Saccharomyces cerevisiae S288C: one gene and its partner. The protein of the gene in region 1 binds, or shares a complex with, the protein of each later gene. Each region holds a gene or a part of one and is shown in the gene's direction. Other genes may lie near its edges.

What was found. The genes of interacting proteins can lie anywhere in the genome.
Region 2: SPT14 (region 1) and GPI2 share a complex: the UniProt entries of both Saccharomyces cerevisiae proteins name them as parts of the phosphatidylinositol N-acetylglucosaminyltransferase (GPI-GlcNAc transferase) complex.

The regions. Positions count from the first base shown.
Region 1 is NC_001148.4:215,212-220,588, forward strand, and holds SPT14 (phosphatidylinositol N-acetylglucosaminyltransferase SPT14), read left to right. Parts: upstream 1-3,418; coding exon 3,419-3,435; intron 3,436-3,535; coding exon 3,536-4,877; downstream 4,878-5,377. Other genes in the region: TRE1 (Tre1p), read right to left, coding at 801-3,152; NIP100 (Nip100p), read right to left, coding at 4,956-5,377. UniProt on the Saccharomyces cerevisiae protein: Catalytic subunit in the complex catalyzing the transfer of N-acetylglucosamine from UDP-N-acetylglucosamine to phosphatidylinositol, the first step of GPI biosynthesis.
Region 2 is NC_001148.4:408,487-411,785, forward strand, and holds GPI2 (phosphatidylinositol N-acetylglucosaminyltransferase), read left to right. Parts: upstream 1-1,956; coding exon 1,957-2,799; downstream 2,800-3,299. Other genes in the region: ATP4 (F1F0 ATP synthase subunit 4), read right to left, coding at 1-258; YPL077C (uncharacterized protein), read right to left, coding at 882-1,604. UniProt on the Saccharomyces cerevisiae protein: Part of the complex catalyzing the transfer of N-acetylglucosamine from UDP-N-acetylglucosamine to phosphatidylinositol, the first step of GPI biosynthesis.

The DNA.
Region 1 (5,377 bases):
GTTGGCACGATTTTCTTTGATGCTAATGTAATCAAGTCAAGTATGGGTTGCTTTGACGATCCAGATGCAGAAGTCAAAGTTACGAGTCAAAACCTACGAGACTAGACATATCTCTGCAGATGAAAAGGCCTGTTCTATAAAAAAAAAATCACTGTTAAAGTTCAGACAGAAGCTTATTTCAAGGAAAGCACTGTGATTGATTTATTCACTATCGAGTTTCTACAGGTGTTGAAGTTCATATATTTGCACGTGCTCGTAGCTCTTTTCTTCCTTTTTGAGACATAAAAATATGGAATATCTTGGCACCCGTTACAAGCCGTCTCTAAAAATATACATGGCGTACATAATAATCTCCAGCTGATTCAAATATCCCGCGCTTTTCCCGTGGTAAATACTGTGTGTCCTATTAGGCTTTCTCTTGGCATTTCACTTCTTAACCTCTAAGGTATTCAAGGGGCGGAGGTGTAATAAAAACAAGAAAAAAAAAAAAAAGAGGAAATTTGTGGCAATCTTCCTAATATAACTATGTTGAAATGTGTGTACTAACACCTTATACTATCTATATCCTTTGTCTAAACAGCTCTGCCGATAAAAAAATTCCCCGCGGAGATGTCCATACTGACTAATAAAATTGTCCCGCACAGGCAAAAAGCAACTTTAAATGCATGGGCTCCTAATCTTAGAATTAAACGTATTTAGTCTTCCTAGGCAAGAAATCTACAAGTCATAGGAGTATATGTTGTGTATACTATAGTTGATTGCCTGCATAAATCGATGTGTAATTTTCTTTCAACCGATAACTAAAATTCGTTCGTGTTTATTCCATGAAGGTTTTTATTCTCAAGAAAATAGCGTGCTGTATTTTGTAAAATTGTGCCGAGTGTGTTAGCTTGAACCTGCACAGAGCTCCAGTCCTTGATTGCAATAGTGTCCCTGATTTCAGGGAACGTCCATGAACGAAGTGGGTCACCTTTGTCGACCCAGAGTTTTGGCCCGAAGATAACGTTCTTGTAAAAGGTTCTATCCATTAACCCTTCCTCCAAACATTGGGTAACGCCTATTAGGGAAAGTAGGTAGTTCCATGACCAACGATTAATGGCAATGATAGTGGGTTCTATATATGTACCGGCTCCATACATAAGCTCTGTCCATTCGCTTTTCCATTTTTCGAACTGCAGTTTAGTGTTTTCCCACAATGTTGTGCCCAAAAAGACTTCGTCAAAGTTTACCGTATCAGGACATTCTTTTTGGAGGTCTTTTAACGTAGTTGAAAGGAAATCTACGTAGTTCGATATGCTGAATGGGATGAATGGATCGTCAATGAGCTCGAGTGATTTTTCGACAAGATATAGCATTATCTCAGAAAGTACCTCTCCCTTCTTTTTGTCTCTTAGTTTATCTTTGATGAAATCGAATTTGTCTTCTACTGTGTAGATCGGATGTTCTCTATTCATGACTCCTGGAGATGAAATGATCGCAACTGGAATCCCTTGCGCTAGATACGGCGTCCAGTCGCCGAACTGGTGAACATTATCCACTTTAACGTTAAATTTACGGCTTGTCATGTTTTTTTGAAAAAGATCTACTAGTAGCGGATGACATTGTATCTCTAAATTGTTACTATCATCCCATATACCGATTTGGCCGACGTCGATAATGGTGTATATTTCACTCTTCAATGCCTCTGTTCTCTTTTCCATCAGCTCCGTGGCTCCCGCTTCATTAAATTCAGAGCCCCCAAAGGAAATGAAATATATATTTCTTAGAGGCTTCCAGTCAAATTTGTAAACCATTTCTTGATATAATTGGATCAGAGACAGCAAAACGACGGTTCCAAAAGAAGGATACATAGTGCCATAACTAGCAGAGTTCCTCGGTGCAGCAATAACAATTGCCCTGCCCGCTTGTTCCGATCCTTCAATTTTACCAACTATATCGTGAACCGGGTGGCGTTCCCTAATTGCTGTTTGCACTAGTAGGTCAAGTCGACAATCGTTAAGCGACCCACTGAATAAATTATTAGAAAACTTTACGCCAGTGTCTGATAATATAGCTAGTATTTTATCTCCTTGATTGGCAGATATCGGTATGGATGGAATTTTGGGTAGGCACTTGGCTTCCGTAGCATCGATAGGATCTCTTATTGATCCTTCCCATTCAGGCGTAAGTGCATCACCAGTACCATACTGCGGCAACGCAACTGACTTCATTTGTATCACGTCTTTGTTGTCTTGATAAGGCTCAGAAATAAAGATAATTGCTTTCGCACCATATTCTTGAGCAGTCAACATTTGTTGGAAAACATAATCTCCGTAATGCACTAGTAAAATAAAGTCACCGTTTAAAAGCCCTTGATCTTGCATAGAAGCCATATCGTCCAACGATGCTTTATTAGCATAAATCACCGGTATGTTGTTCAATTGACCATTATGGCTCATTGGGTTAAAGTTCTCCTCATTTAAGGGAATATCAAACCCTTCTGTATCATCCTTTGAATATACACGAAGTGAGACATTTCCTGGGTAATTCGAATACGCCATGAACTCCTCTTCCCCAGCTAGCCTTATACCATTTTTGTCGAACGACTCTTTAATATAATGTCTAATAGCGGCATCACCACTTGTTCCTGACATGTGGGGCATACTACTAATATACTCTAAATCTCTTTCTATCTTTGAAAGGTCTATCGATTTCCGAGCATACTGTAAAAGGAGATCATGGTCCGAGAATGATCCATTTGAACCTCGAGCTTTTCCATTCGGTAACCTATCACTCGCAATAATCAACGCTGCAATGATAGACATCATCATGATGTAAAATATTCTCCTCATTACCATAACATTACCTATTTTACTTAAGAACAAATCGAATTTCTCAGAGGCCAGGGAAATCATTTGTGCTAGCGGATCCACTACATTTTTCTTTACTGGAATCACCACGTTATTTTCAAAACACATACGAAATCGCTGGACTTTCTCACTAAAGGCTTCCGGAGCCTGCGGTTCTTCCATCCCCATCTCTTCCACATATACCGGGGGTTCTGATGGCATTCCTATAGCTTGCTCAAAGTCCTGCGAGTTTAGCTCATCTTGTGAGTTATTTGCTGGTTCTTCAACATTCGGAAGAGTAGTGTAGCCCCTAGTATTCACCATATCCTTTGTATACTCATATGCGAACTTGTCTAATACAATGTATACCAAAAATAACAGCTTGAAAAAAATCTCAGGGTCTTTTCATTGAATAATCTCATTCTGCTATTTTAAGTTTTTCGTTTGCAACCCGAGACTGTCGAGCTAGAAAATTTCATTGATACGATTTAAAAATAATCGATGCCAGTAATAGCCTCAAAAAACTTATGCAAAAATACGAGATACTATAAACTACAGCTTAGCTAACTCTAACATTATTATATAAAACAATGGGCTTCAATATAGCGTATGTCTAGCTCACAGCATGTGTTCCAAATACATTAAAGAAGATCTCTTTTGTTGTTGATACTAACCAGTAAAGTTGAGAGTTATAACAATGAAAATAGGATGCTGTGCGACTTTTTTTATCCACAGTTAGGTGGAGTCGAATTCCATATATATCATTTATCGCAGAAACTAATCGATTTGGGCCATTCTGTCGTCATTATAACTCACGCTTACAAAGATCGAGTCGGCGTACGACATCTTACCAACGGTCTAAAGGTCTATCACGTACCATTTTTTGTGATTTTCAGAGAAACCACTTTCCCCACTGTTTTTTCAACATTTCCAATAATAAGGAATATTCTTCTCAGAGAGCAGATCCAAATTGTTCATTCTCATGGTAGCGCTTCCACGTTCGCTCACGAGGGAATTCTTCATGCTAATACTATGGGATTGAGAACTGTGTTCACGGACCATTCACTCTACGGTTTTAATAACTTAACGTCGATTTGGGTGAATAAGTTGCTAACATTTACCTTGACAAACATAGATCGGGTTATATGTGTTTCTAATACATGCAAAGAAAATATGATTGTTAGAACAGAATTAAGTCCTGATATAATCTCAGTAATTCCCAACGCAGTGGTGAGCGAAGATTTCAAACCAAGGGATCCTACTGGTGGCACCAAGAGAAAACAAAGTAGGGATAAGATAGTGATCGTGGTCATCGGAAGGCTCTTTCCAAACAAAGGGTCCGATTTACTTACTCGCATAATTCCGAAAGTTTGTTCCTCACATGAAGATGTCGAATTTATAGTAGCGGGCGATGGTCCAAAGTTCATAGATTTTCAACAAATGATTGAAAGTCATAGACTACAAAAACGTGTGCAACTCTTAGGCTCTGTTCCACATGAGAAAGTCAGGGATGTATTATGTCAAGGTGACATATATTTACACGCTAGTTTAACAGAAGCATTTGGTACAATTCTAGTTGAGGCCGCATCTTGTAATTTGCTAATTGTAACGACACAAGTCGGAGGAATTCCCGAAGTGTTACCAAATGAGATGACTGTTTATGCAGAACAGACATCCGTTTCTGACCTTGTTCAAGCAACAAATAAAGCTATCAATATCATAAGAAGTAAAGCTTTGGACACTTCCTCTTTTCATGATAGCGTGTCTAAAATGTACGACTGGATGGACGTAGCCAAAAGGACAGTAGAGATATATACTAATATATCTTCTACTTCTTCCGCTGATGATAAAGATTGGATGAAAATGGTAGCAAATCTTTACAAAAGAGATGGAATCTGGGCTAAACATCTTTATCTGTTATGTGGAATTGTAGAGTACATGCTTTTTTTCCTCTTAGAGTGGCTATACCCCAGGGATGAAATCGATCTAGCTCCAAAATGGCCCAAGAAAACAGTGTCTAACGAGACGAAGGAAGCAAGAGAAACTTAAACTTTACACAAAACAAAGGAATGTTGTATCCATTTATTTACTGTATTTGAATGTTATAGACCTGCTAGAATCACTCAGTCATTTGTAATATGTAACAACATTTTGAGATTTGAGTCGTATATTTTTCCTCTTGCGCTTTAAATACGAAATGTAAGAATGATCTCTTTCATGCCAGAGTTCATCTTCTGCCAAAGGTTGATCAAGCTTTAAATCTAAAATCCGTGAGGTACTCACGAAGTTGAACATTTCTATCCCCAAGGTGTCCAAACTGTGGTTGATATGTTCTTTGAATGGTTGCTTATTTTCCACAGCTGGAAGCTCGTCTAACCAGCTGAAATCGATGCTCACTCGTTTCTGCTCTTTTATTTGTCGTCTTATGGTTTCTCTCAATTCCATGATTTCCGAAACTAAATTTACTCTATCTACTTTCTCTCTGTCTAAATAAATTTTGTTCAACGTATTATTATCCTTTATTTGATATAGTTTGAGCTCCATATTCT
Region 2 (3,299 bases), 190 kb from region 1:
AACGTACAATTCATTGGAAATGGCATAAATGACAGCGGCAGCAGAAGTCCCCAAAACCCCCGTCTTTGTCAAAATATTATTACCTGGAATGGCATTGATGATAGAGTTAGCCTTTGCTTTTGGATCTGTCTGTTTTTCTGGAGTGGAAGACATATAACGGGCTCCAATCACCATCGAAGGACAACGAACACCTTGGCTAAATAATGTTTTAGAAACGGACCTTAACGCTAGGCCACGGACACCCATACTCATGCTCATTTTATCTCTTGCGCACTTAGGAGGTACTGAATTCTCGTCAGTCTTTTAATAAAATATAACCCTTCCTAGCACAGTATAAACTTGTCAACATAAACTGCTAACTGCAATTATAATCCCTTGCTATTTTAATTACCCAAACCTGTGGTGAAGGTCCGAATGAGCGGTGAAGAGAAAAAGCGTCGTGATTGGTTCAATATTGATGTCGATTACCCGGCCAATGAGGCTCGCTCGATGGGACACCTCTATGATAATAGTTGTCGCCACAGCCATTCTGAATTATATTTATCTTTTATCTACGTATGTGCCATTGTCACAGCACATTTCTAATTCTGTGTGAGGAACTAATTTAGCCATGGACAGTTTCTCATGCGTGGAAGACCTGTTATGCTGTATAGTACTGCGCCGCGTTAAAAAATATTCATGCTTGTAGAGTAGAATATTCCTATCTTTACCGGACCGTATTTCATCTGGGAGTTGCAGTTGCGTCACAACACAGTTTATGGCTATTTTATTTTGAAAATTAAGCATATATGACATAATTAGAGCACTCCTATGTGGGAATTCTTACACTTTTAATGTAGAATCTCTTGGTGATTGTTACTATCAGTTGTGTTTTGGCCCTACTATTGTAATTCCCTTATAGTGTTCACCAGCTCTTGAATGTACTTTCCTTCTTCAGGATCAACGGTTGGTCCATTTGGATTTCTAATTGCGCTGCTACTATGCATGTTGTTGCTTGTAGCTTCATCTCCGACGGATTTTCCTGTTGGTGATGGCGTTCTAGTCATCATGGCAGCAGCGGTTGCGACCGCCACTTCACGACGTTGTTCCTCTTCTATTTTAGCATTGCGGTCCCTCAAGACTTGAAGTAGTTTACTATGTGCTTGCCTTAATTGCATCAGTTTGTTCTCGAACCCTGGAGGAAACTGATCATACAATTCTGTTGCCTGCGCCTGTCTTTTAACGTCATCTAGGGCATCTATTTCTCTCCACAAATAGTCTTGTCTGTCGATTATAGGCCGTACTTCCAGTCTGTTATGTGTCTGTAGCGGTATATCTACGCTATTTCTCCGGAATTTGGCAACTCCGTTATAGCTAACACTATCGGTATCTATTGTGTCATTACCAACTGTGTTAGCACTTGAACGGTTATAATAGTTATTGAATAGACTCCTTGTCGAAGGAATTTGGGAAGAATAAGATGGCCTAAATCCTGAATTTCTAATATAGGGATTTACATTTGGTATTGTCCTGGGAAGGTCATGGATGCTGTCCTCCCCATACCGTTCATCGTCTTCATTCGTGATTTGCCTTCGTACTGAGCTTTTTTTCTGGAGATCTTTCATGAAGATAGTGAATTGTAAATTTTTGGTTAGGTTTTTCAAAAACAATGTCAATTACATGTCAGCGAAGGCCAGGTAGTAGGTGTCCGTGGCTATTGATTATCTTGATATCCGAACTTGAGACCACTTCGCGGCTACTAAATTTATGAACTAAAAATGAAAATTTCAACTTTCCATTACCTCTTCGCTTTAAACCAATTTAAAGGTACAATCACACTTTAAGTATTGTTGTTAGACGGTGGTGAATATAATCAGAGGCATCCAAACTTTCTGTTGCAGGTCCATTATCCTCTCAATTTTCGTATGACCTTAAAGAGACTTCATAGTTTATATTTGGTTATTTTCAATAGGTACAATGACAAGATCTCCCTGGAAGCGCCTACTATGGTTGAAACAGGAGTACCCAGATAATTATACAGATCCAAGTTTTATTGAGTTGAGAGCAAGACAAAAGGCTGAGAGTAACCAGAAGTCTGATAGAAAATTATCAGAAGCTGCTCGCGCTCAAATTAGGTTGGATTTTATAAGTTTCTACCAAACCATATTGAACACTTCTTTCATTTACATCACTTTTACATATATTTACTATTATGGCTTCGATCCTATTCCGCCAACTATTTTCCTTTCATTTATAACATTGATTATATCAAGGACGAAAGTCGACCCTCTATTGTCCTCATTCATGGACGTAAAGTCTTCGCTGATTATCACATTTGCAATGTTGACTCTCTCTCCAGTCCTCAAATCTCTTTCTAAAACAACTGCATCTGATTCCATATGGACATTGTCTTTTTGGCTGACCCTATGGTACATTTTCGTTATTTCGTCAACAAAGTCCAAAGATAAACCCTCTAACCTTTCCACCAATATACTTGTCGCCCTTGTTGCTGTCCTATCATCGAGGCTTTCGACCACAATCGACGTATTCTGTTTTCTTTTAATTTGTATTCAGTTGAATATCATTCTACCCACTTATTTATCGGTGACGAATAAGGTAGTACCAATAATTTCAAATATTATTGTATACTCATTTTTGAATGTTGCTCTAGGTTGGATTTATATGCTGTTGATTTTCTTTGCTTCAGTATTTTATATTACTGTTTTACCTAAGTGGTTCATCTACTGGAAAATCAATTATCATAAACGGGATAACGATCTACTAAGTACATGGGATGCAAGAACACCAATATTGGATTAGCGCAATCAAGAACATGATTTCCTTCGGATAAGCAAGGGAGGGGTACGACTTCTGCCCGCAGGGGCTTATTGCCTGTCCTCTTCCTCGACCCCACGGTATTTCATTATATATAGAGTCACTGTAATAATAATTATCATGAAACCTGACAAGCAAAGGCGTCGGGCAATTACCAAAGGGCAGTTCGGTCGATTAAGTTTGCTTCACTACAGATTATTCACATATCATACGACAACTTTAAAATTGAACATTCAGGAGATTTTTGAATGCATTGATGGGCCCTTGCACCTTAACCGGGTCCCAATATTAGAGAAACGCCCCCTTAAACTGAACACAAGACAATACTACCTGGCCAATAGGGTACAATTTGCGGCCGTGTTAAACAGGCGTTTCAGCGTCTACCGCTCCTAATTTAAAGTCACTTGTTTCTTGGTAGCAGCAGCTTCCTGTTTTCTTCTTTTTGGCACTTGGTTATGTGATAATATCACCCGGATGAGAAACCT